4 linked regions of the Caenorhabditis elegans genome follow. The protein of the gene in region 4 purifies or fractionates together with the protein of the main gene of each other region. This does not show direct contact. Each region holds a gene or a part of one and is shown on either strand. Other genes may lie near its edges.

Region 1 (6,732 bases), 5.9 Mb from region 4:
AAGAGGGGAGATGTTGTGGACGGAACGTAAACCTGAACTTTATACAGACGTGACCTTTGGGTCATCATGAACTTATCGCGTAAGCGACCTCTCTTTATAATTCATTACTTCTTACACTCTCTTGTAATAAACTTCTTCTCTCCTTGTCACTCGCTCAATACACAACAGTGGCGATCAGGATACTGCTGGAAGTTCGCCAATAAAAGAAACCCATCTGGACCCCCTGCTGGAATCCGATGTTGCGAGTGACGGCGAGCGTTTCCAACCCGGTATTCTCCTTAGTCATTCTCTTCGACAGAGCCACCCACGACAAGTTGTGCGAGGATCAGCCCCAAACACTGATCATGCCTCCACTCGCCGCAGAGGTCGATATACCGCCTCTGGTCGTGATGCCCCTAGCCCAGGCATAATTTCTGGCTTTTTGTCATATAAGAGGGGAGATGTTGTGGACGGAACGTAAACCTGAACTTTATACAGACGTGACCTTTGGGTCATCATGAACTTATCGCCTAAGCGACCTCTCTTTATAATTCATTACTTCTTACACTCTCTTGTAATAAACTTCTTCTCTCCTTGTCACTCGCTCAATACACAACATTTAGTTTCAGTTAGCTCCGAATAGACTTCTTAAAATCCATTTTTCTAGTGAATTGTAACCTGAGTAATTGATACGCTTTTACAATAATTTTTTAAGTTGAAAAAATATTTTTACTGTTTTTGAAGTACTATTTGCATTTAAAAAGTAGGCACCTTCCAGGGACCTGTCACCGAAGCAGGCGTAGCTCGTCCGGAAAGCAACCTACATCTACTTTTCTGCTAATTGTAAGAAATTCATTGTTCCGGCCGTGTGACTACATTTCTCACCACTCGGTCCGAGTTTTCAGATTTTTTTCAAAAAAATTAAAATTTTTCAAAAATCTCCCAGATTGTTTGCCTACTTGTAAACGTTCTGAAAAACATTGAAAGTTTGCAAAAAAAAATTTTGGAGCAATTCTACAGGCCTCCAAAGTAGTGAAAAAATGCACTGGAACAGTTTCAGACTGATGCTAGAGGGGTTGAGAGTGGAGCTTTGCCGCTTAAAAATTTGCAGTGACATATCCTTATGGAACACTTTCAAATGACACATATCTCGTTTAAAAAAAAAACTAAAAACCTTTTTCTTGTCAGTTTAAAAAACGTGACAGAAATGTATGGATTATTATACCACAAAGCTCAGTTACAGCATGATCCCCCACAATTATAAAAACATTTGTTCCGATTGCTTGCAAAATGTTCAATTGATCTAATGTGTTCTTGTTATCTTTGGATTTGATGATTGTTTCTGTTTCATTCAGGAAGTGGAAGGATTGGACAGAAAGATAAAAAATTGTTGTGAAACGGTGTTTTTTGTTGTTTAGAGTATGTCAAAATGGATGCAATTGGTTCTAGTTACTTCCGTGTTGAGTTTGCAAACGAGGTTCAGATAAAGAGAAAAAAGGAAGTATTTCTATAGATATTTTTCTGTAAAATTTTTTACTGGTTATAGATGTGAGTTTGATATTATAGGTGTGGGTCGCAATACTATTAGAGAAAATGGGGTATTATTTTTAGTGATAGATTTTACTTTAAACTAGGGCTGAATAATAAACGAACCTGGTTGTACTTTGATTGAAAACCATACTCTTGACATGGAGACAAATTACAGGATAAATATAACTGAAGTTTTGTAGTTCCCAAAAGGAAAAACGTTGCCTTAATGTATATAAATTATTATTTTTGCATCACATTCAAAATTATTTTTTAGATTATATAAAAAATATTTAAAAGAAATGAGATAAAAATTGTTTATGAGTGGATGATAATACAGTTAAATCATACTTTGAAAATTACCCGAAAAAAAACTACAAAAATGCCAACTCTTAAAAATAACTTGTTTTTCATAATACAGATAATTCCAGGAATTCAAATATCGTCTTATTGGGAAGTTCTTGTTTGATTTCCACAGGTTGCCATACATGAGTTGTAGTTGGGGAAGTTGTTGGCATTTCCGAGAGTTCCATAGAATGAGAAACGCATGCAAGTTGTGTATTTTGGAACCCAGAAGTATTTGTCACTTTTCTCTCCTCCGACAGCAAACTTTCCAGAGTCATATGTCAAGTTGCAAAGATAGTCTGTGAATTTGAAATTTAAGAATAAAACATTTAAACATTTGATGCTTACTGGATGTTGGACAACAGAATGATTGAATACAGTTATGACCCTGTGGGCAAGTATTAGCTCCTGCTGAGCATCTCACTGGTGTCAAGTGGTCAGTGTCATAGGTAGCAGAGCAAGCAGCTTAAAATTTTTAGAATAATTGCCATAGTTACTAGCTAACCTCACTTACACTTCATTTGAACGGTTTCATCACTTGACTCCGAGTCTCTTTGAGCTTGAGCATTGGTACAAGCTGATCTACACTCTTGTGCACTACTGAACCGGTTACTATTACCACCACATCCCTGATACATGAATGGTTGACACGTTCCAAGTCTTGGAAGATAATAGAACATTCTAGAAGAACTGTTCTCAGCGCAAGTATTTCCAGAGTCCCGTGCAGCAAAACAGTCAACAGAAGTCGATTGAGCCGCAGTGAAAGACAATAGGGAGAGAATCTAAATAATAATTACATTTAAATTAACTGAAAGTCGTATGTAGATCTAAAGTAGATCTATTTCTGGATTTAGTAGTTTTTAATTTAACTAAGTTTCAAACCTCATAATTAAAAGGATTTTAAAACTCACCACAGCCAATCTAAGTGCCATTTTAGTTTTGCCACGTGAAAATGTTGTACTCGAGTTCTGGATTTCTTTTAAATAGGCCATCGAGATTCCCGCCCCTTTAAACTATTGTACTGGCAATCGTGTAAGCTCTTGCTACCGTGCAACACCACCAACAGTCAAATCCAAATTCCAGTTTTGATCTGACCCCACGGAGCAAACATTGTGTGTATAATGTACATATACTGTTGGCTCCTTCGCACTGACTTTTTTACCACGCTGATTTATTTTGAGACACTTTTTCTGTGTCTCGCTGTCTATCTGTGTACAGAGGAAAAATTTTCTCGGAATTTTTAGAAAACCAGTCGGGAGTGTTTACTTGTTTTTTAATACTTTTAATACATTGGAAAATTGTGTAGGTTGAGAAGATTTTTTGTTTGAAAATCTGTCAATCTAAATTTGTTCAACTGATCAGGAACATTCTTCTAAATTGCAGATAATATGAGAAAGTAGAAAATTCTGTTGTTTTATAATAATATCATTTAATTTAATTACAATCTTCTTTCGTCCCCGAATGGTCATGCGAAAAGAAATGTGAGAAAATATACAATGTGCGCGCTCATCTTGCAAAAAATGTGCGCGGGGGTTGCAGCAGAGGCCACGCCCCCGCGACACCAACGCGCCAATTTTAAAGAAAAAACGTTTTATTTTCCAATTTCATAGTTTTAACAGAAATGACCTCGCATTAAGCGGGAATGAATAATTACGACGACTTACCCTGCTCTATTTACTTCAAAAAACCAACTGGTGAGTTGTTTTCGATATAAAAGTGTTAAAATTGCCAATTTAGTCCAGGAGTTTGTGGATCAACCGAGAGTCTTCGAAGATTCTGAAGTCCCTGCCTTTCAAGAAGTTCTTCAGCTTCCACAAGAAAGGACAAAACCCCCAGTACCATCTACGCAGCCAATTGTCGCCGCTGTAGAAGTAGCCAAGAAAAAATCGTGTCTTTCGGCTCCGAAACCAAGAAAAGAGCCACCTTCGCATCCAGCGCTTCGCCAAAAAACAGTTGCGTTTGGAAAAACAGTTAACGTTTCCCAAACTGTCGAGGTAATTAAATTAAAATTGTTCCATGGCATAATTCCACTAAATTATCTTTCAGGGAACATCTCGGAATTCAAAAAAAGTGCTTGCTTCAACAATGTCTGCCCAAAATACGACAACGACTGAAGAACAGGCAGCTGAAAACTGGCGGGACGCTATGAAAACAGAACTGCAAACGATACGAACAGAGATTCAAGAAGAAACGGCCCGGCGACAAGAAGAGCTCAATGCTCAAAATCTTGTTAAAATGCAAGAATTGATGTCAAACTTCTTTCAGAGTATGTTTGAATATATATTATCCCATAAATTCAATAAATAATAATTTTTCAGAGATAACGATTCCTAAACAGCAAGCGATCGAACCAGTTGAAAAAGACAAAGAAAATTTTCATGAGAGTCCTCGTCAATCAAGACAGCAGAAGCCAGCTAGTAAAGTGAGAATTCAGATAAAAAATAAATCAAAAAGTACTCCGTTTTAAGATCGCTTCGGCACGAGAAGTTATCAAAAGAGACGGTGTTATACCTCCAGAAGCATTAACAATTATTGAGCAACGCCTTCGCTCGGACCCAATGTTTCGCCAACAAATTGATAATGTTCTAGCAGACGTGAGTAGTGTATTTAAATCCGATAGAAATAGTTTGTTTTCAGGCTGAATGTGATGCTAACAGAGCTGCATATTCTCCACCACCACCAATGTCTGAAGTTAGATACGGATCTGGTGTGAATCCTGCTTTGATGAGAGAAACACTTACGGTAGAACGAAGTATTCGATATGACAACGGACTCGCTTCTATTGATTCTAGACAGTGGACAAATGAGAGACGTGATAATCGTGGTAATTTAATTTTTCAATATTCAAACACAGAATTCGTCCGCTAGAATTGTATAAATATAATAATTCACGCATTCCAAAATGTATCAAATAATTCATTAAAAATGTTTGAAAGTTGATAACCATTCGTAGTGAAAACACTTTATACTACGAAATGATTTTAAGATGAAATCCTCAAATCAGTTGAAAAATTTGAATTAAAAGTCAAAAATGAGAAGTCTCTTCACTATTCAAAAAAACCTTTTCTAGCTCCTGACTCATACCGTACCTACGAACCGGATCAACCATGTCACTCACTCTATCAAAAGGGTCAAAGTATTAGCTATTATCCGTCAGAAGCAGCTGGAAAAACGACAGCTAGAAACAATCGAACTGGATACTACGTGGAAGATTCATCAGATCATGAAGAGGATGTTGTAGTCAATAAACGGGGACAGAACTATCACGAGCAAGCGGTACCTGAGACTCCAGCTGAACGAGAACGCCGTATTCGTGAAAAATACGCTCGCAGGAAATGATATCAAATGTGTTTAACTCTTGACGTTTTAAAATTATCATTAATCACTACGTGTAATGTCTGTGAATTGTACTAAAACCATTACTTCCAGCTGTGACCTGAATAAATTTTGAATTTCATCGATTCTTTCTCATTTGATCATATGATCGAGATAGTCTCGAACTTAATTCGATTTTCAGCACTTCACACTTCTGTCATTGTTTGACAAGTACCAACTTGACCTTTCCATCGGTCTCCTTCAAGAGTTTCATTTGTGTACGAAATAAAAATGAAAATTCTAGTAGTGTACGTGTTAATTGGAGAAGTTCTACGAATTTTTAAACTACAAGTTCATAACTTTTAAAACAAACTGTTATGGCATGTACACATGTGTTCCTGTATTAAAACACTTGCTGTCTTCAGACTTTCCAATTGAAAAGATACACTTTCACTTGATTTTCCATATGCAAGCAAGCGTTTTGAACTATCACTACCTTTCTCTATTTTTGATTTCTCTTCCTGTTGACTTTTGCACCCGAATTTTTTGAATTTCTTTTGTCAAAATCTAGTAAATATTGACATTGATTATTTATAGAGAGTAGGTGGAAAATTAGAAAATATAAAAGATTAGGTGTGTCTTGTTCATCTTTGCAAATTTGTTTTTTGGCATTTTCAAAAAGTTCGAGAGAGCACCCAGATGTTTGGACTTCAACTGTTCCATTGTACTCTCCCCATTTATAAACTCTGCGATTTTTCCCATTTCTCTCTAAACACTGATACCACAGTTTTATCAGGATTTTCTTTTAAAAATTTAATTTAAAAAAAAAAAAACATTTAACCCATTTATCTACAGAAATGCGATTCCACCTGTTAGTCTGTGTACTTCTTGTTCCTGTATTCAGCTTTGATTGTACTCAACCAAAGGATAGTGGTAATGTATGTAGTGGAAGCCAAGCAGAAAGATCTTTTTATTTTGATACCAGAATGAGTAAGTTAACGTTTTGAATAATATTTTGTTCGTAACTAGAATTTATACTTTTAAATAATAAGCAATTTTTAACATTTAAATTCTCGAAATTTCAAGAACTCGTTTAGGGTAGCGCTTTTTGAAAATTTTTCGTATCGTAAGTTCACTAGATTTTGGCATGCCTTATTAAAGGCGCACGGATATATACAGGCGGATCTCGGCGCCCAAAAAGTTGATGGTAGTATTTTTTATTATACTTTGAAAACTCATTTGAGACAATTCGAACAGAAAAATAAAACGAATACCATGAAATTCGCTAAAAACAGAGTAATTTAATTGAAAACTTTTTTTGCTAGCCGAGGCAAAAAATCTCTGCGCCTTTAACAAGGCATATCAAAATCTGGTAAAATTACAATTATATCATGAAATCTTGTCTAAAAATAACGTTTCAGAAAACTGCCAAACTAATTAATAATTAAATTAAAAATTAGGGCACCCTAGACTTTTCTTACAGTAAGAGAGAATGTATTAAACTTTGCCACAAAAAGTGTCGTCATCTCTCGTACCAGTCTTAAAATCATGAAGAATGATTTTTGA
Region 2 (8,346 bases), on a different chromosome or scaffold from region 4:
TCGTGTTTTCAGTGGATAACTGAAACTATGGGTTGAAACTAAACTTTCTACATTAACCTATAATAGAACTTAGAGCTCACCGTTGGCTGCCAATATGGCAACAGTTGCCACAAATCGGTAGATCATAATAATGGTAGATAGAGAGAAAATGGAAAGGTAAGAAGGTATAGACTAGCAAGACCGGATCTTAGTGGGCAGCCCAGCACTGCTAACTAAAGCCGAATGGGGCGTGGCCAAGACGTGGAGCGGGAGAAGCTGGTGAAGAAGATTTTGGAAGAGAGAAGGCGGAGGGAGAGGAACACTGGAAAAGGTCGACGGGCCTCTCTCTCTGTAACGGTGCGTGGGCAAAATGTGTAATTTCTAGTATAATCTAGGCGACACAGAGACTGGTGTGAAGCTGCTTTGAAAGACAAGGGGAAAGATGCCGTGATTGTTAATTAAGAATATACTAGGTGTTGTACATCTTTATGGTCACACTTGCCAAGAACACTACTAGTTGATTGTGGTTTGGGAGTTTCGTTTCAATTTTCTTAATTTCAATTGAATTACAATGATGAAGAGTTTGATGGTCATGACCTTCGCAATTGTTTTGTTTGAAATAGTTTGAATAAACGGAATACATAGATGAAGCGGTTATTCCGGTGAGACATCTTTCACTTTCAAGGCGCTAACCTTTTTGATTGGCAATTGCATATCCCATCACAAACAATTACATGCCTTCCTCTTTCATTTTCTCTCTCGAGTCATGACACCCTGACGACACAACGTGACGAAACGGCGCGACACCGCTAAACCCGTCTCCAGAAGATGAAGAAAAAGCTGAGAGGATATGAAGATGAAGCATTGCGCAATCGACGAGGGCACGACGCCACAGATGTTTTGGCCGCCCGCCGCCGCCGCCACAGGAAAGGAAAAGCCTTTTGAAAAAGGACGAAGCAAAAAAGAAAAGCAAAAGATAAATAAAAAAACGAGTTCCTTTAGTAGATAAATTGGATATATAGAATGGACCGACTGTGGCTGACATTGTCTTTTTAGATGAACATACAAGTCCACAACAATGGATCTTGTAATTTCTAGAAAAACTGAAAAGCTGCGTAGACTTTTCGGTATTGAATGAAAAATTAATAATTGGTCTGAAATCTCGACAATTCGCCGCAACTTCTCAATCAACTCTAGCAAACCTAGAAATCTATGCATAGCCTGAGGATTGAATATTTGGAGTTCCAGAAAAACAATCTCATACTATTTGGAAAAATGATCTGTAAAGATTTAAAAAAATAAAATCTAACAATACCGAATTCAGCAAAAAATGTACTGAAACAGTTTCTGATGGAAATTTCAGGGGCTCAGATTTGATTTCTTCGGAAAATTTCACTAAAGTTGATGGAAACATGAGGAAAACTAAGAGAATATCTGACTATATATGATCGGACTCATTATTCTAAATGTGTGTCACCTAATAAGAACATTTTATGATCGAGTATCCTAACTTCTTAAAGCCATTTTGAACTTTAGATGACGTAATAATAAATCTCTGGTTCTCATGTCCATCGGATCTTTTTACCTCAATTTATCTTATCACCTCTGTCCACTATGATTGATTCTGAAAGAAACTCGGTTACGTAATCACAATCGGGTTTCCTTCTCCTCTTCATTCTCTCAATTTCGATTCTGTCTCTTTCTGAATGAATCGCTTTTTGGAGATATATATGTACATACAGACACACTTCCATTTATTTCCTCTTTGCCATTTCATTATGATACTACACTAGGGACTGATATGTAGTCTACACAAAACAATAAATACAGTAGGCAACATTAATGGATGTAGTGAGATAGAATGCATTACGCCATTCGAAATAAAACCCGCATAGGTGTGACATCATTAGGAAGAGTAAGAAGGGTGCTGGTAGTTGTTATAAAAAGTGGAAATCTAGACGTTCTCATCGTTCACGCAACTGTCTCATCAAGTGGCATGAGTACATTTTAGAAACCATTTAGAAAATGTTGTCATTGAGGTCGGCACGCAGCGGAAGAAGTAGATGATGTCGTTCATCGGAAAACTCGGAAGACGTCGTAGAACTGCGGATGGAAGCACGAACAAATAGGAGTATTAGAGCGGTACCTAGGAACAAAATATTTTCGGTTTATATAAAAAGTTGAATAATGCTAAGACATATTTTTAGTCATAAGTGACAGAATATCTACCTGCCTACATCTATGCCTTTTTTCTTGAACTTTAGCTTGAACTCAGGTGTTAGATTTTTTCACCGTGCAGAGTATTTTTGATATATTTTTAAACCGTTTTTCTTATAGTATGTTTACATAATCTTCAAAAGTGAAAAAGTTCAAATTTGGTAGTACACAAGACGCAGGCGTAGGTGCCTTGAGGGCAGGCAATTAGCGTCTAGCGTTTTTGAGAAAATATGTTTATTGGTGCCCCTTTATTTTATATCTCTTATCTCTGAAAAAGCGAAAACGGAAACTTTCTCCCAATGAAAATATTTGAAAAGTGGTTTTATTGATTATTATAGCAGCTGCTTTTAATCTAAGCCGCCTCACAAAAAAATAAGCAACGTATTTTTTCCCAGACCAAACTCACCAAAAAGGAAAAATACAGGAATCATGTATGGAGGCATGCTTAAACCAGGAGAGCTTGCAAAAGCTGAAGGAACTCGGAGAAATCTCATTTCTCTTGATGGCTCACAGTTTTCAGAGTTTTGAATCGTTCTTAGGTACGGACATTCAACAGGAGGACACACGAATCTATCGAATCCAACTGATAATTGATTAGTGATTGTTTTTTGATCAATTGGTTCGAACAATCCTTTCCAAATTTGTTTCGCAGCAATATCATGAGCAATTGGAGAAAGATGGAAGCAATCGAGTGCCAATAGTCCAATATTCGGCTGGTTTTTAAGTAACGGAATTGATTTTAGATCCATGGCTGGAGCAATCACAACAGCAAATGTAGATGAATTTCCATATTTTTGATTGAATTGTTCTACAACTTCATTCAATTGTTCATCGAATTGTTTCTTGATGTTTTGATATTCTTTTTCATTTAATTCAAAAATACACGAGCATGTTTTTCTGTAATTATATGTTTAATTTTTTTTTTAATTTTGAAAAACAAACCTATGTGAAAACTCGCAGAACTTACTCAACTTGTGAGCTTGTGAGTGAATTTTGACATTTATTGGTGGCATTATGTTAACGAATACCTTTGGAACATTTGTTTGAATTATTGTAAGTGCCGAGTGAAGTGACTTTCCAAATGTTTCAGGCCCGAAGGTAGTCTGAAATATTTTTTAATGGAAATGAAAATTAGCTCCGATGTGAAATGGTTATTTTACCTCATTATTGCAAATGTTACACAAGTCATTATGACCGATGAAAATATTAACGAATTTCCATGTATCAGATGTTTCTCTACCCAGCTTTTTCTTCAATGTACTTGCTAATTTGAGCGCTTGTTCGGGAAGCTCCGAGCTGAATGAGCCAGGAATCGCCATGTTAAAGTCGTAAAACTTTTGAACAAAATCAGAGGATCCTCCTTTTATTCGCGGTGCAAATTTACGGAAAATATCTGAAAAGCTTCTGTTGCAAGTAAGTGAAAGTCAAAACGAATTATTACTAATAAAGGTGGCTTGCTCATTCAGCTTTACATCATCTCCTGTTACAAACGAAACACCAGGAAACTGATCAAATAAATCGAGAATTGACGATGATTTCGCCGCTTGTGCAACTGACACAGAATCGCCTAGTGCTGCTATCACTCCAATTTGTGATGGATGAAGCTGATGTACAGATTCGGAAGATTTTCGATGAGGTTGGGGACAATTGAAGTTTGGAAAGCCCATTGGGTACTCTGTAACACGGAACTTGAAGGGTTAGATGGAACGATTAATAAACTAACCCATTGAATCCATAAACGCATTTCTAGTTTCTTTCCACTGATTGAATACTTCCACAGATGTTTCGATAATTTCATTAGGAGGTGAAATAATAGAATTAACTTCCACAAACGCCAAAAAAAGGAAAAACCGTGCCATTTTCAAGAAGAACGCTGCAGAAAAATGAGGTAACATGTATGTTAAAGTTAAATCGTTTTTCAGAATGATAAGATAGTCTGTTTTCCAATTTACACCGTAGGACATAGATAAGAGGGCGAGCAAATTGGTAAAAAAGGGGACAAACAAGTTTGTGTAGTCTGTGTTTATATGTATTTCGTTTTTGCAAATTGTGAAGTAAACTGAGCACAAACACCAACTCATTTATTTAGCGCTCAAATTCTACTGCGAATAATATTTGATATTAGTACATAAGTCTCAATAAGCTTTTCTCAAACTCAAAAGGGCTTGCGAGAGGTGATGAAAACGAGGTCATCTACAGTTAATGCCACCTAAAAATGCTCAAAAAATCAATTGTGAAGACCGCGTTCAGGCTGTGTGATAGATAAACCCATGTCACCATATATGAAAAAGTTAAGAAGTTCTTTGAAAAAAAGAACTCCTGAATATAATTTTAACAAAATTTAACCATTTCTCAGAAAACAGTAACCTGTATATATTCATATTTCCACTTTCAAAAAAATTCTCAATGTATATCCGGTTGGCAGGTGCCGCTGAAAAGTGTTCAATGAAACGGCAGCAGACTCCTTTGTATTCTTCAACTCTTTTTCCCAGATGTTCATGATTGCAGCTCATCGTACATCACAATTGCATGCACATTCATTTTAAAATGTGTGTGTTTCCTACTGATTCAATAAATTGAAAATAACACCACAAGTCACCCAGAGGAAATGTAAAATTGCGTCATACATGAGTTGTTCCAACTTTCAAATGGCACCTTGCGACATTCTCATCGAAGATCATGCAAACATGACTCACCATCATCTTCTCCTCTTTCTGCTTTCCTCCGCTAAAACTGACCATCCGTGGCGAGCTGTCTGCGTCTCAATATTTAAATTTGTTCCCAACCCACTATCTCACCTTTCCGCGTCCGTTTCCAATTTCGATCGCAATACAAACAAACACACTCATACATACCTTTTTGTTGCCCCGGTGCCCGCTTGCACTTGCTTATTACAATTATTCCACGGCTACATTTGTTTCTTATTTTTCATCTGAAATAATATTTTTCAAACTGTCAAAATAGTGTCAAGATCAACGAAAGAGGCGGCGCAAAGACGTTCGCAGAACGCCGCCGTCGTTCATTTGAATGCGGACGCAGAAGAAGATGACTGTTTTCATCGAATACCATATGCATCACTTATTGGATCATTATTATGCATTCTTGGAGTTATTCTCTTTGCAATTATGATGTCCTGGGCATTTAATGCAACTGCAGAGCAAGTCAGAAGATCTCTGAAAATAAATGATTGGCCATGGCTTGACAAGGTTCAAGTTTTCTTTATTGTAATCGCAGTTTTAATGGGACTATTCTCACTTTTCTTCTTATGCATCGGATTTACTGCAACTGGAGGAACAAGAGAAACTATGTATAAAGGTTCAAAATGACAATGATCTAGGAGAACTTATGTACAATATTTTCAGACGATGAAGCTCGCTGTGGTGGAAAATTTGCATGCGTCATCGCAATGTTGATCGATTTCTTTCTAGTAAGAATTGCTCAGTAAACGTATAATTTTAAAACTAACTTTCAGATAATTGCATGGCTATTCATTATTTCAATTGTATCTTGGCTTTGTATATTTTATTATTTCTTCGATCGGCTCTGCATGAATCTTCCAGGATATACAGATGGTGACTGTATAGATCTTCATGTTTTCTGGCCATTAGTTTCGTCCTTTGCCAACTCGGTGAGTATTAAGTTTTAGGATTCTCAAAAGAAAGCAATTTAATAAGTTCCACATTTACATATGTAGGTTGAATTGGAGAAATGTTAAAATTTGGGATTTTTTTGAGTATTCTTCCTAAAGTTTATGAACAACAACTTTATCATTTTGAGAAAATTAAAGTCAACAAATGAATTATTTCAGAATCTTCGAATGTGCGGTGGAGATGTGCAACAATTCTGTGCACTTACCTCCACAGCATTCTCTTGGTATGTCATCGGATGGGTTGGATGTGTTCTCATCATTCTTGGAGTTCTTTTATTTTTTGGAATTCATGCATCAAATTATGCACATATTGGAAATGCTAACAGGTTTTTATTTTCATATTGGAAGGCCGTGAAAACAAAATTTTAGATACGTTGAACTTGGCCATCTTCGGATAGTTGAACATCGAGAACCAGGAGCAGATCGAAATTCTAAAAATGCAAATGGTCGGAAAGATGTACGATTGCCAGAAAAATATGAACTTCAATCAACACAATATAGTGATTCTCGTGCAAATTATTCAATGAGGTAAGCCAAGTTTTTTTAGGTATTGGTTTCAAATTGAAGAATAATTTTTTATTCATCTCACCTACTGCTTTATTTTTCAGAACCTCAACAAGCCGTCAAGCTGAGCACATGTCTGATTCTGTCAGTCAGTTCGATTATCGCAGGGATAAAAGATTAAAACCGGTTTACTAACTTTTAAAAATCTCACGTTCATAATTAGGATTTTGAATTTTTTAAAAATTATTCCACGACAACAATAAATGCTTTTTATTAATTCTTTTCAAAACCTATCATCATGACAACACTTTCGCAAGGTGATCAACAAATGGTATAAACAATTTATATTTTTCTTTCAATGTTTCGTTTTGTAACAGATAATATTCGAAGATGATACTCGCGATCAAACGATGTTTTTGGAAGTAGCAAATCGTTTTCAAAAACGAATGAAGTTTGGTTGGGAGACTAGTTTCGGACCATTGCTCAAAGTGAATCCGCCGGTTGGCATAATGGAGCCAGGAGAGACTGTATTTGAGTTTTATTCTGGTGAAAGTTATGAGCGTGTATTTCAGAAATCGTTTGAAATTCAATTTAATGGAGGTCATCTTCCAAATACGGATGTGATGGATGCAGATCACTCGGTGAAAATGTGGTTGACGCCGGCGGAAACTAGAAAGAGAAGCTTAGAGGTAAAAGGTTATTAGTTGGATTTTGACTTCTCAACAAGAGTATATTCGAGGACAAAACATTACGATTTAATTGAATTCTGCATTTGATCTACATTTTACGATAAGTGTTATGATGGACTGAAAATGAAAAATATGGGTACTTCTTTAAAATTAAAAAGTATCATTTAACACTATGTAAATCCACATCTATTAAAGTTAATTCGAGATTCAGATATATAGTCTACTCCTGAAATGAAAAAATAAACTTTTGAGGCCACTCTAATTTTCAGAACACAACAGTCCAAGTTCCGATCATTTTTGCTGTTCATGTGCAACCGAAGTGTGTTATGGAATTTGAGAACTGTACCAAAAACTGATTATAAGTCAATAAACTATTTCGATTCACTGTTAAAAGTGTGTTCAGTACAAAAGAAGAAACTCCCAAATGTTGGTTTTTTCACAGATCGTTGCAGGTTTTATGATATCAAAGTTGCGTAACGTTCAGAAAAACTTGGAGACTTGGTTCTGAAAAAAAACAAAACAAGTTTTTCATTCGTCATTTCAACGTTGTTACGTTTTCAAGAAAGTTGTTCACAAAATCCTTTCATCAAATCTGTTGCAAGATCCATTTTTCATTATGGACCATTGATTGTGGACCTCTGCTTGCTTTTGCTTCAATTTTTGGTCTTTCATGATTTCAAAGTATATTGTTCCATAAAATGTATATGGCAATTAATAAAATAACTAACGGGAGCAATTTTATGGATTTTATTCACAATGAAACACTCAATTCTCTGAAAACAGGAGAAACCCCATTTTTTCATTGTTCAAAATTCCTGAAAAAGTAAATAGTCAACCTCACAATTAAACTGAAAAAAATATCGTTGACTTCAAAGTATAAAAAAGTTTCAACAGAAAGTTACCATAGTTTTGGCCCACTCTTCGCATCTTCTGGCAGTAAACTAGAGTTGCAAACTAATCCAATTGCATTTTCAATTCAATTTCTCATCTATTCAGTTGCCATGAAAACATACTCTAGAAAATAACGAATTGCATTATTTGTGTGAAGAGTGCGAAAAGTGAGCAAACACTGCAAAAATTCAAAAGAACACATCCCAATCACTGTTAAACCGCCTAACAAATAGTTGTTCAGCTAAAATTGACGAAAACCATTCTCCTGTACTCTGCTCAAGTGCTGAAGTAATTGAATATTTTAGGAAGTTTCAGATGTTCAAAACATCAATTCAACTCTTTCTTGTTTTTCCATTTATTTGCAGTGTATCACGTCCTACAGTTAAACTGATAATTGGTAAGTTGATATAAAAGACA
Region 3 (7,253 bases), on a different chromosome or scaffold from region 4:
CAAATAATATTCGATTTGAATGAATTTATAAGCTAAAATAAAATAAACTTTTCCTCGAGGAGTACACAAGCTCCGTAAATCGACACATCATTATTCTAGGTGCTTGCGGTGATGGTCAGTGATCGTTGGAAGACTGGGGACGAGATTTTCATCGATCGAGATCCTAAACACTTTGGGAAAGTTCTCAATTATCTCCGTGACGGGGATCATTTTGTGGCGCCATCGGACACAGAAGCCTGCGATGAGCTGAAGAGAGAAGCTCATGTAAGTCGTCGTGGCGAAACCCAAACTTTTTTTCAAAAAATGGAAACATTCAGTTCTACAACATGCCGTTCCTCGCCGAAATGTGTATGCCGATGAATGTCGACGTGGCGGATGTTGTTCAGTGGAAGCGTGACGCGATTGAAATCTATTGGCGCCCGTTTGTCCGTTATATGGTTGATGATTCGCTGTCACTTCCGTTTATTTATGATAGGTAGGTAGGCAGGTAGGTAGGTCTTCTTCAAGATAAATAGATCTGCAAATCAAAATTTCAAGACACTTCCAAACTTCCGTAAAGCATTAAGTCTCTGATTTTCCAGAAACAACCACACCCTTGCCCGTTGCATAGCATGTGAAGAATTCCAAGATCCAAAATGCTCCTACCTTTTCGACATCAACTACACTGCGTGGGAACCGATGCGACATCACATGTATAATATGACGGGAGAAGTCACCCAGGTACGAGGATTATGACGTTTTACATAGATTGGGGGGATATGGCAAGTAATAAATATTTTATTGGCGGTGGTGGCCAGGAGCTGAATAGAGAATGAGATTGTTGAATTGCAGTTGATGGGCGAAAACTGCTGCATTGTTGCCTGGGACAATGGTCAACAGATTCATTTGCCAAAGTCTGCGCTCAGTAAGGTTCCAGGAATGCTGCATCAGTGATCAAGAAGAAGATACTCGAAAATATAATGATTCCAAAAAATAAATAAATTATTTATATATTTCTAATTTTGCATTGAAGTTTAGGCTTGGGCTAAGACATAGGTTAGGGTCAGGCTTGAGCTAAGGCTTAGGCTTAGGCTTAGGTTCAGGCTCAAACTCAAGCTTGAGCTTATTCTCGAGCATTTGAAACATTGTTCGTGTCGAAACCAGGTTCCGTGTTGCTTCTGAAACTTTGATGTTCAAAAAATTCTGAAAAATATAAAAGTTGCAAAAATATTACATTCAATTTGTAAAAAAATTAATTTCTGAAATTTCAAAAAAAAAAGAACTGAAAGTTTATGTTTCTGGAAATTTCAAAATTTTTAATCCAAAATTTTTAGAATTTCAGAACTATTTCTTGAATGTTGTTTTTTTCGGAATTTTCAAATTTCTAGAAAATTTAAATACTTCTGAAACTGTAGTTTTTTGAATTTTCAGAATATAATGAATATCAGAGGTTTTGAATTGTTAGTTGTTTTTAGATACTGAAATAATTTTTGGCGATTTTCGGCTTTCAGAATTTTCAGAATATTTTGATTATTTGAGGTTCTGAATTGTTGGTTTTTTGAAAGATTTTTCCATGAAACTTTTTTGCGATTTTCTGCAAAAATTCCCACGAAAAATCTCAAAACTGGAAGGTATAAATGCGGTGACAAATATTAAAAAAAAACAATTCTCTGATTCCGTACAATTTTGCAAAAATTTCCAGCAAAGCGACAGGTATCTTCTGATCTCATTCACTTCAAGTTAACGTCTATATTCTTTTCAACTCAGCGGGCTCAAGTCCTCTTGTGTCTTTTATAATTACATGTAGCATTAGGTTTCCACAACGACCACGTCTCCGTGCTCTTTTTGAAACACCCATAATTTACATTCCATCAGACAGCTCGATTCTGATTGAAGTTTTCACTTTTTTCGAAATTTATGTATTGCTCCCCCCGGGTTACAAGCATATGTATAGTCGATTTTGAAACGATTTTGTTTCACTGAAAGTTTAAAAAAATGTTTTTTGAAACCTAGAAAAATGTGTTTTTTATTATATTTTCCCCAGAGTTGCATTTCTTTCTAGCAAATTAGAATGCCCAGAGTAGTTCAAAAAAATGTTTTGCCCCTTGTCTTTGTGATATCTTTTTCCGTACCTTCCTCCAAACTTCTCACCACAACCATTATATGGGCGGAGCCTAATAAACCCCTCCTGTTTCACAATTCAAATTTCCAGGTACATCATGTCATCAAAAGAGCTCTATAGACTCAAAACTTTCGACGATCACTATTTCGAAATGTCCACCGAATCAATCGGAGATCCTCTCCCAGATGGCAAGCCAAGTCCAACAGGGAAAAGCTTCCAACTATGTGATACCAGTTCCGAACGTCAAAGGAATTACCATGAAGATGGTTGTCACCTGGTGCATCCGTCATCGAGTCGAAGTTCCGAGCACTTCTACGTGGGAAGTTGACTATGTTAAATCATTGGATCGAGAGGAACTGAAAGATGCGATATGGGCCGCCAAGTATCTTCGAATGCCAATTCTTATTAATATTACTAGTTCTGAACTGTTTTTGCGAGCCGAAAATACACCGGTAGAGAGGTTAGATGAAGTGTATCCGATGCCGCACTGTGTAGGCAGAGCTCCGGAGAGAAGCACCAAAATCACCATTCACAAATTCAAATAAACTTGGATACAATTATTTTTGTTTTCTTTTAGTACTCAGTTCATAAATATATTAAAGTGGGATCCATCTTCGTTTTTTAGTGATTTTACAAAAGTTTTATAGTAGAAAAAAACAGAAAATAAACTGTTGCGTTCAATGCTGAAACATTTTTCAATGTTTGAAATGATAATTTTATTCGAGATTTCCAATGAATAAATAACTTTTCATAGAAGGTAGTTTTGGGAAAAAAAATTGGAAATTTTCGCGTCCAGAAAGTATGGAGTCCTATCAATGACTGAAAATATAAAATACTCTATAAGAATAAGAAATTGATATGTTAATAATCAGAAAAATACAATAATTAAAAAAATTCATAGAATCAAGTGAATTATTAACCAAAACTTTAATTCTATGCCATTTCAATTGCTGTTCATCGCGTGTATCGAATTCATTGACTTGCTTTGAACCAACAAATCAATCAATGCCCTCAACATTTTTCTCAATATTATTAAACATGTTGGCTTCAGAAAAAAGTGCTCTTTCATCTCCCTCCGCCTACTCATCTCTCCATCTCTGCCCCTCAAATCTCTCAGCTTCCGTCACCTGTTACTGACGGAATTGATCAGTGAGAAGCTCTTCGAGCGTTTTCATTACATATGTTCAGCCATCTTATTAGTTCTAAAAGGTTAGTTTCAGAATGGTTTTGGCTCCGTTTTTCGAGAAAGCTCCATCGCTTATCATTGCTCCAGACGGATCAGTTCTGTTCGAATGCATCTGTAATGCGAATCCACAACCAACAGTTAAATGGTAAAAGATTTTGGTTTATGAACCCCTAACCTTAACTACTGTAGGTTTTTGAAAGACAAAGAGCTGACTGGTGATCGTTACGTGTCAAAGATCAAGAAGATGGTTGGCAAGTTCACAGTTACACTGCATATCAAGGTAAGTAAGATTTTTGTAATACTGATAAACTGATCGGGATTCTAGATTAAGAAGAGAATAAGAAGAAAGGAACGGATAGAACACTTGATCTGGTTTTTAGAGGGAAACTTAAATTGTAAGAACATGGTGTAATATTGACCTTCGAAACACTTGCCTCGAGATTTTGTTTCACATTTATTTTAAAGTAAAAAACTTCAGAAACAATTTATTGACCTAGAAAATGTCGGCCATTCTTTTAAAAACCGTTCCTGGAAAGTTTGGGATGGTCTCCGGCAGGAACAAAAATTGAAAATAGGCTATACAATTTCGGAAAGTTTTTTTTTTCATTTATCGGAATCGAACATATATTTAAGGGCTGTGCGGTATTTTTTCGGCAAACCCACAATAATGTTTATTTCAAAATGATAATCCAACTTTTTTCATGCAAAATTAACATAGAAACGTAGAGAAAGGTTTGTTCTATCTGGAAAAAATACAAATTTTTTTGAAAAGTTTGAAAAAAAAGTTCAAATAGTGTCTGAAAGTTGTCGTTTGTCTAAACACTTTTAACGGCACTTTTTTGGCAAACGTCAACTTTCATGCACTATTTTTGATTTTTTAAAATTTTCCAACAAAAATAAATATGCACCATAACTGGCTAGATTCACCGTCGATGCACCATATCAAGTTAGATGCACCGTAACTGGTCAAATGTACCATAACTAGTTAAATGCACCATAACTGGTTAGATTCACCGTAACTGGTCAAATGTACCATAACTTGTCAGATGCACCATAACTGGGTAGATTCACCATCGATCATCAGCATAATTCACATACAATTTTTTTGAAATTCAGCTCAAAAATGAAGCTTGATGATGAAAATTAGGCAATGGGAATATTCATACTTTTTGAAAATAAAATTACTTTATATTAAAAATTTCAAAAAGTTGCTAAAAAATTGCCTCAATGCCGTAACACCCATCGGCATACTCACTTGGCACATTTTAAATCAAATGCCAATTTTGATCACTTTTTCATAATCTTCACTAAAATAACGCTATCTTCTAAAAGTACAAATACTTCTCTATATTTTCATATGAATTTCCAGAAATGAGCATTCTAGATAAGTTAATAACAAAGAAAATGTTTCCAGAACCCTACCCAAGAGGACCAAGGAGTTTACAAAGTGACTGCTACAAACACCCATGGCTCACACTCCGTTGAGCAGCAGTACATCTACAAATGCACTGGAAAAGAGGTTTTCAAGACTCTTGACTAAATTCTGCTAGATTTCTTTAATATTTCTTCCAATAAACTTTTCCGTCGCTATACTGTATCTTAATATCACTCGTAGAAGAAACAACGTGGTTATCATGTGATAAGAAGGTCAGAAATAGAGAGAAAAGATGTCAAAAATACTAGGAATTTTGAGTGTAGAGTTCAGAAAAACAGATTGAACAAAAAACGAAGTATACCCGATCAGGGAGATCGGTTTTTGGAAGGAAATAAAAATGATCACATGTGCAGAATAGTAAAAATGTTGATTGAGAAAATTTTGTTGGCGACATGTTGGAGTCAGATCTGTTCGAGAGTTCAAGTTGATAAGAATTCTAGTTTAAAAGTTTAGACTTTTGGTTTGGACATCTGAACTACAGGCTGATAGTTTAAACTGTAGGTACAGAATAGTATGAAAACCGTACGAGCAAACTTTGATGTCAATTTCCTTTGGTAAACATTCAGAATCAAAGATGGGAATGTTTGAAGACTTTTATGAAGTGTGCCAAATATAAAAGTACAATTTTTCAAAAAAAAAAAAAATTGAAAATTTTAATTTTGCGGCAAAAAGTGGCGCTAATTTTGTCGCCTAAAGTCTGAACAATGGCCAACTTTTCTATTAATTCATTGCATATTATTATTTGAAAGTTTTGAACTTGCGGCATTGCTACAAATTTCATATTAAGCTCAATTCTATGTAGTTGAAAATTTGACAATTTGCCAAAACTTTGTCATTAGGGGGAAAATGTAGAAAACTACTTTTCTGGTGTCAAAATGACCGAATATCATAAAAAACGGTTGGATATTTTTTGAACATTTATTGAATTTTTAAAATTTAATGTCAAAAATTAATCAGTTTTTGCCACTCATAATTTTAGAAGTCGACCAAAAAAAATGTTCTCTACATTTTTTACACTGTAGTTTTGTTTTAATTATTTTTATTAAAATATTGTAGGGGTCGGAAAATGCGACATTATTCTGGATTTCCTTAAAAGCACATATTTTTCAAAATTTTGGCAATTTGCCAAAACTTTGACCGGAAAGCATGAAAAATCTAAAAACTTAGTGTTTTCATATGATATCAGATCGTCTTGAATCATTATAGTTTTTAAGACATTTCTAATAATTAGATTTTTCAAAATTTTCAGTTAAAATTTTGGTAAGTTACCCAAAAAAAATGTAGGCTTTTTTTTTTAGTAATTTAGAGTATTTTGCAAATTTGAACCACTGTAATCTACACACAATTCAACCATAATTGAAGTGTAAATGTTGTGGAAACAATAATTATTTTTGATTAACCTCTAGGTTTACATAGATTAGGCGAAAACTGGAAAACGAAATTTCAATTTTTATAAGAAAAATTTTACATTTTATCACTAGACAAGCGGTATCAAACAATTGGATCAAATGAATAGCTACATTAAGAAATATAAAATTAGACCTAAATCATAACTATCAGTTGAATCTAGCTTTCCCATATAGGCGAAAAACCTACCTCAAGGCCTACAAGGCAGGCGTAACTTGTGTTGAAAATGCCTACAGACAGAACGCGTATTAAAAACATAAAAATTGATTTTTTTTAAATGAATATAACACAAAAGTCAATAAACATTGAAGACTGCACAAAAAATTGTTTACCAAGTTTGATATTATCAACTTTGTCAGTCTCAGCGCTCCTACAAAATTCCATCACAGTATTATCAAAAGGTATTTCAATAAAAAAAAACCGTACTCCAAATTTCACTGTATCCATCACACTCCTCACTATTTTTACTACCACTCATAAAATCAGATGACTACTACTACTACTATCAACAATGGTGGCGGCAGTTAAGGAACCAAAAAAAAGTTGAAGTAAAGCACGGACATCTCTGTGTGCAGAAGATTCCAATCAAAACCGTATAACCGAAACCATATCCTTTATTCTCACAGTGTCTGCGTCTCACCGCTTCCGTCTTTTCCATATCTCAATTTCCCTATTTGATTTATGACCGTTTCGCGCGAAATCTTGTCTGCCACGCCATATTCTCTGGTGGAGGGAGGAGTGGAGTGTGTGAGGGTAAGGGGGGAAACAGTTGAACCATTTTGCAGCTGTTTCAAGTTGGTTGGTTTTAGGATTTAGTTTTTTTCAACTTGGAAACCTCCACTTTATATTCCATCAATTTTTGAGTGCCTCCCAGCTGTTTCAAATGTTCTAGGGTAGTTCATTAAAATTGATCTACTGATTTCAACTCCGTTTTTGTTATCAATTCCTGGCAAACATTGTAAAATTCCCCCAACACCATTTTTGTCATTATTGATAAGACAACTTTGTGCACTCCACTTCTATTTTGTTGCTTTTGCACTAGGCACACCCACTACATTTTTTGAAAACCATCTGGTCGAGGCGTTGCCCTTCTGCGCTGTACCGGATTTTTTTGTTTCATATTA
Region 4 (9,849 bases):
AACCAAAAAGGAACCTCACAAAGTTTAACATGAGCTCCATATCGCATCCACGGATCGAGACAAAATCTTGATGTACGTGATTTTGGAATTCGAAGATGACAATATTCAAGTGGAATATCATAAACCAGCCGCTGACCGCGCCTTCTTCATTTTCGAGGGAGCCTGTCTTGAGTCGACACACTGTTTTTAAACAATTTAGTACGTCTTCTCCCAAATTTTGAGTCAATTCCGTCAACTTTGAAAAGGTTTATAAACATTTGAATGCACACATTTCAATTTTCATTTTTTTTGATACTGAAATATCATTGATATTCGAATAAATCCAATTCAAAGTAGTATGACCACATTACCTGGTTTTGGATGAATGTTTTCAACTGGAACTGAAATTTCTTCAAAACAGTGAGAATTTTGCACTGTGAAGTCCAATGAAAACTTTATTGACTTATTTCAGCATTAGAATGATTTTTCAATCAGGAAAAAATGTGTATCGAAGCCGGACTCGATCCAAAATGCCGTTCCACGAAACCCCTCTGTCCAGATACCTTCGCTAAGGTCATGAAGACTATTGACACATTCATTTTTGACGCTGATGGTTAGTTTTCTAGAATATCTAGTTCAATTTTTAATTATAAATTCTTTCAGGTGTCCTGTGGCTCGGTGAATCAGTGATGCCAGGATCTCCTCGTCTGATCGATTATCTTGTGAAACACAACAAACAAATCATTGTGCTCACCAATAATGCCACCAAATCTCGTGCAGTTTATGCAAAGAAGCTTGCAAAACTGGGATACAACTCTTCAAAAATGAACAAGAACAATTTGGTGAATCCAGCTGCAGTTGTTGCTGATACTTTGCACAGAGCTGGATTAGATGGAAAACGAGTTTATTTGATAGGAGAACAAGGACTTCGTGATGAAATGGATGAATTAGGCATTGAATATTTTGGACATGGACCAGAAAAGAAACAAGATGAAGCCGACGGATCTGGTGCATTCATGTATGATATTAAATTGGAAGAAAATGTTGGAGCAGTCGTTGTTGGATACGAAAAACATTTCGATTATGTCAAAATGATGAAGGCTTCAAATTATTTAAGAGAAGAAGGTGTTCTGTTTGTTGCAACAAATGAAGATGAAACATGTCCAGGACCAAATCCAGAAGTTGTTATTCCTGATGCTGGACCAATTGTTGCAGCAATCAAATGTGCATCTGGAAGAGATCCATTGACTGTTGGAAAACCATGTACTCCAGCATTTAATTATATTAAAAGAAAATGGAATATCAATCCATCAAGAACAATGATGATTGGAGACAGGTAAATCTAATTTCTATTCAACTTTTAAATTTAATTTTTGAATTATTTCAGAACCAACACAGATGTCAAATTCGGAAGAGATCACGGAATGAAGACTTTGTTAGTTTTATCTGGATGTCATCAAATTGAAGATATCATTGAAAATCAAATGAACGAAAGAGATGATATGGTTCCTGATTATGTTGCACCATGCCTTGGAGCTCTTGTTCCGGAGTCGAATCAAATTTATTATTAATTGCATTCGTTTATAATATTTATTACGAGTAATTGTATTTTCCACATGACAGTTTCAATTGTTGAATTGCATTGAATTGTAAATATGAATAAATTTTAAGATAAATATTGAGACTTTGAGAATGATATTTTAAAAATTTACACTTGAAATACAATATACGATTAGGAAATAAAAACTGTGTATCAATTCGACAATTTCGGCAATTTTGAAAGGTCAAATTTTCTGATTTGCCGGCTAGCATGCTTGTATTTTGTTGAACAATGTAGACTTTTTGAGCTGTTACATGAAAATTGAAAAGGCGGCAAAATTTCATGCAAAATAATAGGAAAATTGGGCTGTTTTAAAGAAACTAAATATTTTCTTTTCTGGGAAAGAATAAGACATTGAAACTTTGTAAATTATTTTTGTCAATAATAAGTTTTCAAAATTGAAATTTGTTTGATTTATTCACAAGTTAAAACTACAACGACACTTTATAAAACAATTTCAATACAAATTCAAACAAAGGTTTACAATCTCGATTTCATCTCAATCTTTGCAATAGTCTCCAAGTGTACAGCATCTGGTCCATCAGCAATTCGAAGAGATCTTGCCCATACATAAAAGGAAGCCAATGGTGTAAATGGAGTAAGTCCTCGAGCTCCTTGCTGCTGCATGGCTCTGTCCAGGATGCTTATTGCCATGTTTGGAGCAACAACTTTGATCATGGCGATTTCAGATTTTGCTTCCTAAAATGAAAACATTTAAATGAAAAAAATAAATATTTCAGTTCAAACCTTTGGTCCAACTGTATCAATCATATGGGCGGCTTTCAATACTAATAATCTGGCTTGCTCAACTTCACATCTTGAAAGAGCCAATTCTTTTCGTAAACTGTCAAATTGGACCAGCTTCCTTCCAAATGCAATTCTTGTCAATAACCTATCTTTTATAACATCAATTGCCCGTTCCGCATGCCCAATAAGTCTCATTGCATGATGAATTCTTCCTGGCCCAAGTCTTCCCTGCGCGATTTCAAAACCTTTTCCCTCTCCCAAAAGCATATTCCCAACTGGTACACGAACATTTGTGAATGTGATCTCTGGATGTCCTCCTGGAGCATCCTGTGATCCAAAAACATGAGTGTTTCTGATAATTTTAACACCCTCCGTCTGCATTGGCACTAAAATCATTGATTGTTGCAAATTTCTTGAACGCTTTGCCCCAGAAACTTGTCCCATAAAAATGGCGATTCGACATTTTGGATGTGAAGCATTCGAGATGAACCATTTTCTGGCATTTATGATGTACTCATTGCCGACACGGACGATGGAACCCTGTAAAAATAAATAAAATATTTTGGAAGTTTGCTGGCATAATTTAGAATTTTTACGGTGGCAACAACATGTAGGCATCTTTAAACCTTCTTTATCAAGTTGCCAAGTTTTTTTGCAAGAAATCCACGCTGATAATTTAACATTTGGTAGCTACTTTTACATACTTCAAAAAAAGTACATCTGATTGTACATCTTGGTAACTCTTGGCAAAATCTTAGCAACTTACTGGTGGCACCTTTTGCCAGAAAGCTGACTTGAAAACCGGAGTGCGCGGTAATTGCCGTTCGGCAATCGAATTTTTGGCAATTTCGGCAATTGCTAGAATTGCTGATTGCCGAAAATTTCTAAAACCGGCAATATTGCCGAAATTGCCGATTGCCGAAAATTTCCAGAACCGGGAATTGCCGAAGTTGCCGATTGCCGGAAATTTCCGATCGCGACCCTGCTTGAAAAGCTCCAAAGCCTTACCTGGATATTTGTGGCATCACTACTCGCGACATCAGGCTCAGTCATCGCAAAGCAACTCTTAATCTCTCCGTTCAATAATGGAGTGAGCCACTTGCTCTTTTGTTCTTCACTTCCATACTTGATGAGAACTTCCATATTTCCCGTATCTGGAGCTTGACAGTTAAATACTTCTGGTGCAAAAATGCTTCTTCCCATAAGCTCACAGATGTGTGCATACTCTACGTTTGTCAGGCCTTTTCCGTATTTTTGTTCAGGATCAATGTGTTCAGAAATGAACAGGTTCCATGCACCCAATGATTTTGATTTCTCCTTCAGCTTTTCAATTTTCGGATGAGGAATTGTCCATCTGTGAGGTCCTTCTTCATAATACTCCAAGAGCTCTTGTTCCAACGGAATCACATCATTTTGTATAATTTCTCGAACGATTTCGTAATATTTTTGAGCTTTCAAAGACATTCCTGATGGAATAATTGTAAGTTGACCGTAAGATTTTGATGCATGAACTTTTGAAATCATTTGCATTCCTTCAGCAGCCAGCTTTCTAACAAGTGGTCCCAACTGAGAAGCTTCAGTTGAAGATGCATTCTTCAACTGAGATCTTTTATAAACTCCTTGAATAATGCTTGCAAATCGGAAAATAACAAACGCCATGTAGTAAGTCCATAGCTCTGGATCAACAACTTCCGTGTTTGTGTATTTTGCATAAAGTTCCAAACACTCTTTGATGGTTGGAATGCCCATTCTATGAAGATCAGATTCACTGTAATCTCCGAGCCCTGGTAGAAGTATCATTCTATTTGGAACATAGTATACAAATAAAAATGTTGCAAGATCTGAAAGCGGATCTCCAATTGTTGAGAGTTCCCAATCGAGAACTCCTTTCACTTTGATCTCATTCTCTTCGATAATCAAATTGTCCACACGGAAATCCCCATGAACTATAGTCGATTTTCCACTTTTTGGCAGATTTGCTTTTAGGTACGCTTCGAGTTTTATCATTTCTTGAATTTCTTCAGTTTTCGCCATTTGATAGGAGTCTGACCATCGTTTCAGATTACGGGCCATGTACCCATCTGAAAATATTTTGATGAAATGCTAATCAAAATGAACGTATTTTTTTAATCAAATTTTCAAAATGCACAGGTGTCAGTTTTTCAAGTCTTTTTGAAAAGTGTAAAACGAAAAATTTTCCAATTTAGATTTTTGCTTAAAAAACGAAAAATCGGAAATTTTCCTTCTTTAATTGATATTTTTGGAAAAAAAAAATCGAATTTTCTAAAAATAATATGTAATTGTTAAAATATACCTGTTCTTCCAAAGTCCTGTAATCCAACTTTTTCATAATCAACCGAATGAATTGTTGCTAACGTCTTCAGTGCTTCTTCATACACACGACGTCTTTCTGGTGGAGTCAATTCTGGAAGTGATGGTTTCAGGAATATTCTTCCTTTTTGATATTCCATAAGATAAAATGAAGTGTCAAGGGTTCTAAAAAAATAATGTATTGTAGCTTAGAATTTTAAAGTTGGCAAAACTAACGTTTCATCGTACAAAAGTGTTTTCGGGAGAGGAACAAGTCCCTGAAGAGCATTCATTATTTTGAACTCTCGATCCACTTGATGAGCTTTTGGTAGAAGACTTCCACTTGGTTTCTTTCTAAGAACATACTGAGACCCTCTTACTGTTCGGATGTAATATGTTGGGTTTGACTGTCCATGACGGAATTTGCGGATTGTTTCAACTTTGTTATCAGTCCCAGTTCTTCTGGTAATCAATTCATTGATCTTTTCAATTGGGAGAACTTCTCCTAAAATTAAATACGATGAGCAAACTATGAAAAAAGCCAAAAAGAGAGAAGCAACTAATATTTATGTTAGATATAAAGAAATAAAAATTAATTACTTGGAATGCAATCCCGTGTTTCCGGTGGGTAGGAGAAGTTCAACTTGAGAATATTTCCTAGATCATGAATTGCTTGCTGGCTGCTAACAACTTTAATTGTAGTGATTCCCATTTCTTTGGCGGATTTCAGATTTGACCCCAGATCATCGAGGAAAACACAGTCGGATGGGTGAAGCTAAACGAAAAAGTTGAAAGATTTGTAAATGTGATAATGCTACCTTGCTTCTTTCCAGCGCCAATTCATAAATTTTAGTGTCAGGTTTACGGAGACCAAGACGGCAAGACTCGAGAACATCATCAAACAAAAGTCCAACTTGCGATGGAACTGTTGGCAAAAGTCTAGCACGATCCGTATAAAAATTGTTGGTAATGAGGATGGTACGGTAGCCGGCAAGACGAAGAGACTGGAAATGAACAGATGTGTCTGGAGAACCATGTTATGCCAAAATGAAAATCAAACCTTGATAAGCTCAACCATCTCCGGGAGAAGTGGAGTGTGTTGGATTTGACTGCTAACCTCTACAAAAATTGGCAAAATGTCTCCAACTCGATTATTCTGAAAATCAAGGTTCAGGCTTAAAAAAATGCAGTTTTAGAAAAAAAAAATTGTAAACCTGAAAATTGTAAATATGAGTGAAAAGTGGATCGAGATCCTCCGAAGTCAACCGTCCGGTTTCAAAAAGTTTGAAATGTGGGTAGAAATCTTTACTGATGATTGTTTCGACCACTGAACCATCACGAAGATTGTGAGTTTTTTCGATGGCTGAAATTTCAGTGATAGAATTTTTTTCAAATTATTGTATTCTTGAACAAATATTTTGATTAACAGAACCTAGCAATAAAATGGCATATCTGAAAATTCAAATAATTTTTCCATGAAAACTTACATTTCCAATAGTGCATTGGTGCTGGGAGGATAACTCCTCCCATGTCAAAAATTACCGCTTTGATGGTCATTCTGAAAATTTTGAGTTCAGAAAAAAAAGATCTCCAATCGGGAATGTGTTGAGAAAACGTGAGTGCGGGCGATGGCAGAGAAAATGGTCAATTTGATAAGGAAAATAAGACAAGTAGGGTACGATGTAGTGTCGAATACAAATCAAAAAAGATATGGAAGGGTATAGTGTGGTGTTGAAAAATGAAAAGATTTTGATTATTGGAACAGTATTATTGTTGGTTTCGATCGAAAAACCAACTGTTCCAAAAATATTACTGATACTTTAATATTAACGAGAGTGAATCTAGATACCTCTAGCTTGACTTTTTGGCAGATCAACAAGAATTTGCGGAAACTTTTAAGCGCTTTCAGAAATTAATTACAAAATTTTTCTAGGTGCCAGAAGCTTCCAGTTCAATCAAGAAAACTTACCATCATGTATACAAATGACCGCATTTTTATTGGGTAATTTATTTAGTTTTCATAATTTCAAAAATCAATATCTGACTTAAAATTAACTTTTTTAAAAATGTTTCTTCGGGGACTTCTTTCAAATTTTAAGCGCTTTCAGAATTTAATTACAAAATTTTTCTGAAGCCAGAAGCTTCCAGTTCAATAAAAAAAACTGACCTTGAGGCATATAAACGACCGCATTTTTTATTGGGAGATTTATTTAGTTTTCATAATTTCAAAAATTAATATCTGACCTAAAATAAACTTTTTGTGTGTCTTCGGGGACTGGTATCAAATTTTAAGCGCTTTCATTATCCCCCACCAACATACAATCCCAAAATTCCTTAAAAAGACAAAAACTCAATTTTGCCCAAACTACAGTAATCCTACAGCAACCATACAGTACTTCTACAGTACTACTCAGTACCCCCAGCCGTATCTCCCCACTAACTCTGAACCAATATCTTTTCATAAGCCAAAACTTCGCAGACTAGGCATTACTCCACTTTTTTGAACACTATCCACTTATCGAAGTTCCCAAACGTGGATATTCTAAATGATGGTCATGTCTAGAAAGGACTGCTTGTGAATTGTTGATCCACAAATTTACCTAGAAAAAAATTGGAAAATATTTGTGCACGTATTTATTCCAAGAAACAAGTTTATACTCTGATGTTTGAGCAGAGCCGCCTGACGTTCAGTAACCTTCGACCCTGAAACTTTAATTCAAGCAATTGAACTGGTCATCTTCTCTGGTACACCCAAACACAAGAACTTTTTAATTTTGCTCTATTTCCTTCAACATCTTGCTTCAACTCCTGCTACAATTTATATTTAGAAGAAAAGAGAAGAGCCATTCCCAATTTCTTTCTTTTGGTGTCCGTCTTACAGCGTGGTCCGGTGATAATTAAATTTACGTTTCTCAACACACACACACACATCCATCCATCTTTTTATTCCCATTTTATATGCACCGTTTACGTCATTTGTATATATTTACAATTCGTTTTATTTATTGAAAGAAATTCCTCAATTATTTATGAATTCTTTGAATCTGACGGTCTGAGGAAAGCCCTGGAAAAAGTTCTTCATTAAGATTTTCAAACCTTAGTAGTTTTTTTTTTAAATTAATACCTTATTAGACATTTGTAAAACTTGAGAAAAAAATAGGAGTTGTTTCAATTTCTTAAAAAAGTGTCAAATTGTCCGCAAAACATTATAACTCAAGAGTGAGCTGCAAACAACAAAGTTGGAGATTGCCGTTTTTTGAAATTTTGTCCAACTTGGCAAAAACAGTTCAGTTTAGTTAGTTCAGTTAGTTTGGACCATTTTATCAAAATTTATTGTTTTCTTCCCCGAACCTTGTTCAAAATTTCCAGCGACTAGGTTCAAAAACCTTAGAACATTTCCGGAGCCAACTCGTCTATTTGACATTAAAATTGAGGAGCGTGGGCTCGAATTTCTGATTTTCGAACTCCTATAGCCCATCGGAAATTGAATATGGAATATCCGGCGACATGTGATTGCAGGAAGGGGGCAGCTCACAAATTTAATGCAACAAAAGAAACAATAATAATGTGTAAATATAGGTTTCACATATTTATTTTTCCAATTATATTTTTCCTGGGATCGGCTCAGAAATCGGGGAAAAAAGAAACACCAAATATAATTTAATTGTTTGGTTTTCCAATTTGCTATGATCACTGATCAAAATCAAACATTCACCCAAAGATTTTAGTTTTTTTTTCTTTAAAGAAAAAATGTTTCGGAGAACAAAAACAATTATCTATAATTTATGAGAAGTTCAAAAAAGGTTCCCACCAATTGTTGTTTTTTCTTTCTAAATTCTCAGTCTCTTTTCAAACCGTCTTTTAAGTCCCTCTATTGAATTTCAGAGCATTTCATTGATCTCTTTCACATTCTAAGAAACATCAGTGTATCCTGTTGATCTTTCAAATTCGTGCCCTAAACCGCCCTCTCAGCTGACCGATAGTAATTTTTTAATTTCCTGCTTTTCGTCGTCGTCGTCTGATTATCGAGCACTTCCGACGACACGTCCTAATTTAGAAAGGATGTTCCACATTCAAAAACAGGCGTCTCCTCCCTGCCTCGTGAAGATTCGATAATTTAGAATGAAAACTTCCGTTGCGTCATTTCTCAAAGCACTTGAGAGAGAAAGTCTCAAAGTTCAGTTGAAATGTTCGGATATTCAGGTGCGCATGTCATATTGATATGAATAGAAAAACATATGCAACAATGATATCAGAATTTTGTTTACTTGACATGTGACCTACAACTTGTTGCCAAAGTTTGGAATATCTGGAATCGTTAATATTTTGCAAAAATATGTGTTTTAAACCACTGCTTGATTTTTGATTTCAAAAATCACAAAAATGTGTAGTTTTTTTTAAATGAAAATTTTACATACCCAAAAAAATCGATGTTTCAAAATGAATTGCAACTATTCAAAAATTCTCTAACAAGGAAACGTTTCAATTTAACCCATATAACTAAACAAGCCCCATTTGAACTTCACTTCAACAATTGCCTATCTGAATTTCAGTGCATTTTTCACTTTTTGGCGCCTGTAGATTTGCTCCAAGAGCTTTTTTAAACGCAATTTTGACATTTTTAGGTTGTTTATGGGTAGGTAAAAATTTTGAAAGCTGTTTGGAAAATTTTAATTGTTGAAAAGAAACTGAAATATTTTTCAATCAACCAGATCAAACAAACTTTTTTCGTCGAACAAAGAAATAAATGAAAATCAAAAAGCTTCGAAAATGTTTACCTACCGCTAACCATCCTAAAAAACAAAATATTACATCTGCCAAAAATTCTCTGAAAATGTAGTTCCACCAGTAGCACTGTTTGTTTTTCAGTCAAATGTTGAGTTACTTTTTTTGAAAGATTGTTCTGAAAATTAATATTTATTTCCCCTTTGAAAAGAAAATCTGAGTCTTTTTAATTTTTAGTCTATGATCAGATTTGATCAGGCCCCGCAAAGTTTGATATATTAAATATCTTATCAGAATTGTTTATCTCAAATTGTTTTCTATATTTTTCCTGTATTAAGAAACCCCGATCTGAAATGAAAGAAACCCAATCAGTCGCCGTATGCATTTCAAGTTTCATTATCGTTCCAAAAACATCAAATATCTACCTCCAGCGATTTTTGAATCGTCACCAAATATGTCACGTATCTCCCCAAATGCTAATCCATTAA

The links.
Region 1: the proteins of acds-10 (region 4) and piit-1 fractionate together in Caenorhabditis elegans (co-fractionation; one large-scale study listed by BioGRID). This does not show direct contact.
Region 2: the proteins of acds-10 (region 4) and F13H8.11 fractionate together in Caenorhabditis elegans (co-fractionation; one large-scale study listed by BioGRID). This does not show direct contact.
Region 3: the proteins of acds-10 (region 4) and oig-2 fractionate together in Caenorhabditis elegans (co-fractionation; one large-scale study listed by BioGRID). This does not show direct contact.

What each region holds. Positions count from the first base shown.
Region 1 is NC_003283.11:11,607,286-11,614,017, forward strand, and holds piit-1 (BPTI/Kunitz inhibitor domain-containing protein), read right to left. Parts: upstream 2,865-6,732; 5' UTR 2,784-2,864; coding exon 2,763-2,783; intron 2,634-2,762; coding exon 2,366-2,633; intron 2,317-2,365; coding exon 2,200-2,316; intron 2,151-2,199; coding exon 1,954-2,150; 3' UTR 1,811-1,953; downstream 1-1,810. Other genes in the region: sas-5 (Spindle assembly abnormal protein 5), read left to right, coding at 3,494-3,545, 3,589-3,845, 3,898-4,117, 4,170-4,273, 4,320-4,445, 4,489-4,675, 4,922-5,190; tag-290 (BPTI/Kunitz inhibitor domain-containing protein), read left to right, coding at 6,024-6,156.
Region 2 is NC_003280.10:6,255,901-6,264,246, forward strand, and holds F13H8.11 (Lipase_GDSL domain-containing protein), read right to left. Parts: upstream 4,122-8,346; 5' UTR 4,056-4,121; coding exon 3,920-4,055; intron 3,872-3,919; coding exon 3,638-3,871; intron 3,590-3,637; coding exon 3,357-3,589; intron 3,300-3,356; coding exon 3,139-3,299; intron 3,094-3,138; coding exon 2,603-3,093; intron 2,126-2,602; coding exon 1,998-2,125; 3' UTR 1,713-1,997; downstream 1-1,712. Other genes in the region: dbd-5 (uncharacterized protein), read right to left, coding at 81-126; nmgp-1 (Neuronal Membrane GlycoProtein), read left to right, coding at 5,322-5,511, 5,559-5,623, 5,669-5,824, 6,005-6,171, 6,215-6,373, 6,454-6,544; F13H8.12 (MSP domain-containing protein), read left to right, coding at 6,648-6,680, 6,727-6,876, 6,922-7,038, 7,308-7,394; F13H8.3 (Inosine/uridine-preferring nucleoside hydrolase domain-containing protein), read left to right, coding at 8,245-8,326.
Region 3 is NC_003280.10:13,004,233-13,011,485, reverse strand, and holds oig-2 (Ig-like domain-containing protein), read left to right. Parts: upstream 1-3,321; 5' UTR 3,322-3,322; coding exon 3,323-3,432; intron 3,433-3,476; coding exon 3,477-3,567; intron 3,568-4,701; coding exon 4,702-4,827; 3' UTR 4,828-4,873; downstream 4,874-7,253. Other genes in the region: F18A11.5 (BTB domain-containing protein), read left to right, coding at 100-264, 318-475, 582-720, 832-933.
Region 4 is NC_003283.11:5,744,164-5,754,012, reverse strand, and holds acds-10 (Acyl-CoA dehydrogenase family member 11), read right to left. Parts: upstream 6,195-9,849; 5' UTR 6,194-6,194; coding exon 6,124-6,193; intron 6,000-6,123; coding exon 5,851-5,999; intron 5,793-5,850; coding exon 5,697-5,792; intron 5,641-5,696; coding exon 5,455-5,640; intron 5,412-5,454; coding exon 5,237-5,411; intron 5,142-5,236; coding exon 4,874-5,141; intron 4,823-4,873; coding exon 4,641-4,822; intron 4,408-4,640; coding exon 3,335-4,407; intron 2,867-3,334; coding exon 2,327-2,866; intron 2,279-2,326; coding exon 2,060-2,278; 3' UTR 1,980-2,059; downstream 1-1,979. Other genes in the region: pgph-1 (Phosphoglycolate phosphatase), read left to right, coding at 481-592, 643-1,315, 1,367-1,550.